Linked DNA regions of Coturnix japonica. The protein of the gene in region 2 purifies or fractionates together with the protein of the main gene of each other region. This does not show direct contact. Links are inferred from orthologs where the notes say so. Each region holds a gene or a part of one and is shown on either strand. Other genes may lie near its edges.

The links.
Region 1: the proteins of SMAD6 (region 2) and WWP1 purify together in Homo sapiens (affinity purification with western blotting; 3 studies listed by BioGRID, with this or other methods). This does not show direct contact. The link is inferred for Coturnix japonica from reciprocal best matches to the Homo sapiens genes SMAD6 and WWP1.

What each region holds. Positions count from the first base shown.
Region 1 is NC_029517.1:111,491,460-111,494,959, reverse strand, and holds part of WWP1 (NEDD4-like E3 ubiquitin-protein ligase WWP1), read right to left. Parts: intron 2,347-3,500; coding exon 2,250-2,346; intron 1,929-2,249; coding exon 1,856-1,928; intron 1,166-1,855; coding exon 1,066-1,165; 3' UTR 1-1,065. UniProt on the Homo sapiens protein: E3 ubiquitin-protein ligase which accepts ubiquitin from an E2 ubiquitin-conjugating enzyme in the form of a thioester and then directly transfers the ubiquitin to targeted substrates.
Region 2 is NC_029525.1:16,930,489-16,934,523, reverse strand, and holds the start of SMAD6 (mothers against decapentaplegic homolog 6), read right to left. Parts: upstream 2,801-4,035; 5' UTR 2,507-2,800; coding exon 1,885-2,506; intron 144-1,884; coding exon 87-143; intron 1-86. UniProt on the Homo sapiens protein: Transforming growth factor-beta superfamily receptors signaling occurs through the Smad family of intracellular mediators. SMAD6 is an inhibitory Smad (i-Smad) that negatively regulates signaling downstream of type I transforming growth factor-beta.

The DNA of each region.
Region 1 (3,500 bases), on a different chromosome or scaffold from region 2:
TTTTTAACTGTGCAAAGCTTGTGTCAATTAAATTTTATTTGGGTTTTCTAGATCCGATAACAGAAATGGAACGTGAGCGTAGAAAGCAGCAAAGTTCATATTACCTCTCATCTACCCTTATATCTCAGTTTACATTAATAACTCGATGAAGCTGTGAAAAACACACCACAGATTGACAAAAGGAAATGAAAAAGAAAAACCCTGTAAGACAACAGACCAAGGAGAAAATGTGTAATAGTGTCTCTTTTATTATTATTTTTCCTTTGAAGATTATCTAACATCCTCGTGGTAATAACCCAAGGTAATATGTAAACAAATTTCAATGCTGCTCAAATGAATCAAAGTATTCTGTTCAGCTCCTACAACAAGTCAGAACAGTGGCACCAATTCCTTTCAACATTAAATCACATTCATCTTATTGTACATTACTCTTGTGCAAGTAATAAAGGCTTTATTAATGACCTTGGCTACATCAGTGTAGTAAAGAGAGATATATCAGCTATTAATGTATTTTAAAAAATTAAACTGACAGAACATCATATTCTGTCATCTCAAATACCAGCAGCATCTTTCTACATATTTAGGATACGTTTGGCCTAAGCCTTTAACACCTTTTAGAACAGCCATGCAATAAAACAAACTTGGAGATGTTTCTTAAGAGAGAACACAGAGCAGTTTAAACATTTTTTTCTAAATAATAAAGCCAAGATAAAGCAAATCCAGGCCCTTTTAAATGGCTGCAACTTTTCATACACTTAAAGCTCTATAAAACTAGAGCTTATTAGTATATATATTTATATTTTTAATATATATTTTAAATAAGACTCTTGTCTGCTTTCAACATTTATGAGGGATTTTTCTGGTCTTTTGGAAGGGCAATAAATAAAAGTAGAAAAGGCTGAACTGTTTTGCATATCTCTGTGGAAGAACGGAGAACAATTATACTTTTTAGAGTTCCAGAAAGATCACTGTACAGAACAAAAAGCTTATATACAATTAAGTGTGCAACTTTAGTTGGCTGAGCCTTTTAATATGCAAAGTCTCCTTTTGGACTAGAAGCTGCTTCTACTCTTGACCAAATCCCTCTGTCTCTTCAATGGCAAAGAGCAGCTTCTCTTTCAGTTGTTCGTAGCTTTTATAGGGTGGCAAATCCAAACGATTAAAACTGAGAAAGGGGGGGAAAAAACAAGAAAAACTATGTTAAGTTCATCTGAATGCCATGCAGAACACTATTGACTGCTATAGTAGGAGCTAGAAGTGTTCCAGTGTAGCAATTAGAAATGAAGAAGTGTCAGTCAATGACATTTCACTACCTTAACATTTCTATGAACAGTAAAAACAAAGTTTTAGATCAATGCATTTAAAAACAAAAGGCTGGTATCACATCAGATAAAGAAACAGGACCTTTGAGGTCTCAATTAAGCTCTTTACAGAGATGCGGAGAACTGTAATACTCATAAGAGGAAACATTTAATTTGATACATCTCCAAATTCCAGCAGAAGGGTGAAATGGCTAAAGCCTTATCCCTTCTACATGTGCCTGGAAATAAGTTTTAACTTTTCCTTAAGCTTGGTCCCAAAAACCCTCTGCCACAATTCTGTTTCATTCTGAGTCTTCCTGAAGTTATCTTCCTGATAGCAGTTTTAAAAGCATAATGAATATTAACGTCACAAGGTTGCAGCAGCAAAATTTAAGATTAAGGGAACCAGAAGAGTTCTCAGTATTGGGGTGTCAGAGCAATCAGAACTGAAGACAGATATAATGATTCCAATTACATTTCCTTTGATTTGGTAAATGCAAGACCAGAATAGAGGAACCACTAAAGGTAGAGAAAGTTTACAAGTAACAACTTACCAAGTGTGACTTCTTGGTAACCAAGTTTCCTTACCAACTTTTTCAATGCAGAATTTCTGAGGACCATTACTTCCTAGAAAATAAGAGTAAAATAACTGGAATCTGTTCCTCTGAAGTAACACACAAGACATCTATTGGATACAAAACAATTCAGATAAAGCACTCAGAAATCATCAGATGCTACTTGTTATTCAAGATTGTTACAAGAATATTCTGCTAATAGAAATAAGCTAATTTCCTAATCATTTATAAAGTTATTCCACTTGATTTCTGATCTAAAAAGACCTGTGAGAACCAAGCTGATGTACCAGAAGTTCCTGACATCCACTTACAGCCTGGTTCTTTTGCAAATGGAACAGTTACAGTCTAAAAGTTTGGGTCATTCTTCACTTACCCATAAGTTCAGCAAATCCACCCAGAGGTAATCGACAAGTGCCAGTGACAAACTGCAGAAGTCGCATGCGAACCTCGTTGTCTGTCTCTTTTACAAACTAGGGACAGAGATTCAAATTACTTAGTAAAAAAATAATGGACAAAGCTGGAGAAAACAAAAAACCTACAAGACTGTTTAAAACACATCATTCTATTTCAAATGATACCTTGAGAAAAGCTCATCTTTCTCCATTTCAGTAAAATTGAGGGTGGGGGGAAAAAAAGACAGTGATTTCATGTTGTATGCACTATTGACTATTACAATATGAAAGCTGGTGAACAGCTATCAGCAAATATGAGGAGTCTTTGCTTCATTCTAATGCGCTAAAACACAGAACACACCAGTGCTATAATTAAACATGGCGATAGCCTTGCCTCAGGCTTGGAGCATCAAAAGACTCAAGTATTCCCCGCTTATGACAGTCCCAGTGAGAGAGAACACCATCCTTCACAGCTATTGCACTTTTTAAACAGAACTACTGGGAAGGTGAAAAGGAGAGAGAGAAGGAATTGATACAGCTGCAATTTTAACTCTAAAGCCTCGATAACAAAACAAATACTTTTTCATTCAATAAATGCTGATATCATTTTCAAGCTGCTTGAACTTCTGATCATGAATCTTTCAGTAATGACCTTAATGGTTTTATTTTTTTCTCCTGAGAAATATCATTAAATCTTCCATTGCACTGAATACACGGATAAGCTAAAAACAATTGATCTCTATCACTTTTAGAGTAACTTTATCAAAAGTACATCTAGAATAGTGATTTATCACAAGGCAGGAAATGCCCATCTGGGAGTCCCCTTTAGGGAAATTCATAGCTCCCGGGAGTCTGTTGTTTCGCTTGTTGTTTGTTTATCTGAAAATAATTCTTAGCTCACTCAATTAAAATGTGACTTATAATTGGTCAGCACAAGACTGGCACTGATAACATGACAATAATCATAAATAATGATGTACTACACACATTACAGACATTTAGAAAGTACATTACTGCCAACAATAAAAAAAAGCTCTACCATAATACAATCAATTAAAAGGACAAGATCTAAAAATCAGTATTTATGTTTCAGCCATTCAAATATGATGCAGGTATCTCACTGCCATTTCCCACCCTACACTATGCTCCCCAAGAACTCTGTTTCTCAGAAAATAAAAAGAAAGGAACAAGTGAGAGCCTTCCTTCAATTGGCATCCCTCCCCTTTATGTGT
Region 2 (4,035 bases):
AAAGCTCCTCAGCTGACGCCTGCCCAGGAACAAGGAGCAGCCCCGACAGCCCGACCACGCGGGGCAGGAAGGAGCGCAGCACTTACCCAGTGGCTTTTGCTCGTCGTTAGGAGACAGCCGGGAGTAGGGAGGTGGCGGAGACTCTGGGAAAACAGAGCTGTGTGTTAGCACTGCGGATGGGCCACCAGCAAAGCCCTCCGAGCCCCGAGGTGCCCCCACCGTGTCCCACCCCACTGCACAGCTCAGCAGCGCGGTGCTGCCACGCATTGCAGGGCCGCTGCTGCCAGCCATAACTCGGGGCTGTACACCGGGTCAAGGTCCTCCAGTGTTTTTATTTCCACAACTGCAACTTGCTGAGATGCACCACCTGAGCTCCGTGCAACCCCCAGCACTGTGCAACCCCCAGCACTGTGCACACAGCGGCTCTGCTGCAGCTCAGAACACCCCCCCACACACACACTGCTCCGAGTTACAGCCCTAACAACGACCTCAGCATCCCCCCGCGCTGCTCTGCAGCCACCTACTGCTTCCCAAAAACACCGCACTCCTCCGGGGCCGTGCACTGAGAGCCCTGCGGGCTGCAAGGTGCTTTGAAGGGCTCAACAGCCCCCCCAAAAAGTGGATGCAGCAGAAGCTGTGCATGGGACACCGCACAACAACCGCTGCAGGAAAACAGCTCGGAAAGTTCGGTGGCTGCCGAAATCAAAGCGACACACTCCTGCTCCAGGAGCACAGAAGTTTCTTTCAAGCAAACGATGCAAAGACAGGAGGGGACAGCGCGTTGGAAAAGGAATTTTAAATAATAATTAAAAGAAAAAAAATGAAGGGACGCGGAGGAAGGTCGTTCGGGGCGTTCAGATCGGGGAGAAAAAAAACAAGTTCATAAAAGCGGAGCCCCACGCAAGGCCGAGCTGCGGCCCCACGGCCCCGGGGCGCTGCGGCTTTAAGGCGCGGCGGGGACCGCCCGGGCGCGATAAGCGGAGCCAGGCGGGAGCCAGGCTGGCGCCGGCGGCGGGCAGGCGGCGGGGGGCGGCCCCGCATGGCGGGGGAACCCGGGGGGGAGGGGGAGAGGAAGAAAAAGGGAAGGGAAAAATAAGGGGAAAAAATATACGTAAAATTAAAGAGAACTAAACAAAGGATTTTTTCTTTTTTTTTTCCTCCTGGAAGAAAAAGTAGCGCTGGGAACGCAGCTCGCGTTAAGGCATTCCCTGACCGCAGCCGAGCCCCGAGCATCGTCCCGAGCAGCGGGGATTCCAGGATTCCGCTTCCTTCACCCCGAGTTTGGGGATCCCCTCAGCCCTCAGAACTGCAGGGACCGCATCTCCGACATCAAACGTGGGGAGTCCGTCCCTGACCGCCCCAGCCCCAAACACGGAGGGGTCCGCTCTCCATGCCCCCAAAGCGGGGAACCTCATCTCCTCCAGGCCCAAACTCTCCCCATGTTCCTCCCCACATTCCCAAACAGGGGAGCCTCATCTCCCCCAGTTACCCAAACCAAACCCCAAACAGGGCAATATCCTCCCTCCTTACCCACCCCGTCCCAAACTCGGGGACCTTTCCCGCAGGTCCCCAGATCTGGGGTCCCTCCAGTTTGGGGCTGAGAAAAACAAGGTCCCTCTATCTCCCCCAGCCCCAAACGGAACATCCCCTTCCCCACGAACCCAAAGCCCAAACACGGTAACCTCACCCTCCTGGCCCCATAATGCTGGGTCCCACATCTCCCCCAGCCCCGATGAGAGGCTGAGGAACCCAATCCCCACGGCCCCAAACAGGGTGTGGGGGGAGGGAGAACCCATTTCCTACAGCCCTAAACGAAGCACGTGGCGACGCTCCCGACCCCCAAACGAACAGGAATCCATCCCCCCCCCCCGCCCCAACGCTCACCTGGCCCACAGAGCCGGCTGAAGTGGTACGGATTGCAGCACACGGTGGGGCCGTCGGCCGCCCCGAAGCTCTGACACTCGCACAGGGCCTTGAGCTCGGCGGGGTGCTGCAGGTCTGGCCAGCGGAACAGCTTCCCCAGCAGCAGGTGCGGGGGGGCCGCCTGGCCGCCCCCCAGTCTCAGCTCCCCGCGGGCCACCAGCACGCAGCCGCCCGGGGTGCCGCCGCGAGACTCCACCGCCTGCAGCAGGCTGTGCAGGGAGCGCTCCTTGAGCCGCTTCAGCAGCGCGTAGGTGACGGCCTTCAGCTCCCGCTCCAGCAGCACCAACCGCGACCGCGCTTCGCCTCCGCCCGGCCCGAGGGGAGAGGCGCCGCCGGGAGGAGGAGGGGGTGGAGGAGGAGGAGGCGGCTCCGGGCCGGGCCGCTCCGCGAACAGGCAGCAGCGCACCGGGCGGCCCTCGCCCTCCTGCGCCCGGCTGGGCTGTGCCATGCGCTGTCCCTCGGCCGTCACCGCCGTCGCGTTCCGCTCCGAGCTTTGGCCGTTCCCATCTCCTCCGTCCCTCTCCGGGATAACGCGGCTCCTCCAAAGCCGCCGCACCAGCCCTGAGCGTTTGGACCTGAACATACGATACGAGGGCGGCCCGGGGCTCGCTCCGCTCCGCGCCTCTATCTCCTCATCGCCCGTCCGCCGCCTCCGCCCCCGGAGCCGCCGCCCCCGGAGCCGCCCGCAGCGCCCGGCCCGCGGCGGGGCCGCACCATGGGGGAAGGCGGCGGCGGAGGGGATGGGGAGCGCCCAGCGGGGAGGGCATAGGCGGGGGGCATAGGGGGGGGCTCAGGGAGCCATGGGGACGGGGGGGCCGGCCGGGGGGCAGCGCCCGGGCATAAAACGGGGGAAGGAAAAAGAAAAGCGGGAGGGGGGGGGGGGGGGGAAAACGACGGGGGAGAAAATTAAAAAGGAGGCGGCGATGAGGGCGGAAAAATGGAATAATGGAAGAGGAGAAGCGGGGGAAAAAATCCTCAAAAATAATAATAATAAAAAATAAGAAAATAAAAAGGAAAAAAAATGAAAAAGGCGAATTAAAAAATAAAATAAAAAAAAATACACAAAACCCAACAGGAGCAGCAAAACGAAGCCGAGGAAAGGAGGATCACAAGGCGAATGAGGAGAAGCCCGTTGAGACGCCGCTCAGCCCCGCTCCGCTCCGCCGTGTCCCGCTCACTCCGCTGCTCTCCCTGTTCTCTCTGTGTCTCTCTGCGCTGCGCCGCGCGCCCGCCCCGGGCCCGCCGTGCCGCGCTGCGCCGCCCGCCCTCGCGCAGCTTTTGTGTGTCCGCGGCGCGCACGCAGGGCCCCTCGCGAGCGGCGGCGCGATTGGCTGCCGCCCATCATGTGCCAGTCTAGACACTTTGGCGGCTCCGCGCGGCACCGATTGTTGCGCAAACAGCGGCTCGGGTTGCCGGGCTCTTAAAGGCGCCGCGTTCCCCGACGACGCTTTACCCGCGGCGGCCGCCAGAGGAAAGTAGGTCACGGCGGCGCCGCGGCGGCGAAAGGGTTAATGCCGCTCCCCCCGCGGGAGACGCCGCGGCGGGACACGCCCCCGCGATGTATCAACTTGTCCGCCGTGGCAAAAGTTCAGGCCCGGAGCGCTCTCATTGGTCGGCCGCCGCGTGACGCGCGCTCTCGCCGCTTCCTATTGGCTCGTTGGCCGCGTTGGCCCCGCCCCCTCCGCGCGGAGCGGCGTGCCCGTGAATGAACGGAGCCCGGCGGCGCCGCGCTGGGTCCTAGTGCCCGTCTGTGTGGGGCTGCAGGGCTGAGGGGGGGTTAAAGGGATGCGAAGAGATACGGGAGGATGCAAAGGGATGCAAAGGGGTTTAAAGGGATGCAATGAGATGCAAAGGGATGCGAAGTGATACGGAGGGTTGCAATGGGGATGCAAAGGGGTTTAAAGGGATGCAATGAGATGCAAAGGGATGCGAAGTGATACGGAGGGTTGCAATGGGGATGCAAAGGGATCTAAGGATGCAATGAGATGCAAAGGGACGCAAAAAGACGCCAGAGGTTGCAGGGGATCGCGGTGTGACGCAAAGGGATGCAATGGGTTGCAATGGGATGCAATGGGATGCAAAAGGTTGCACAGGGATGCAAGGGGTTTCAGC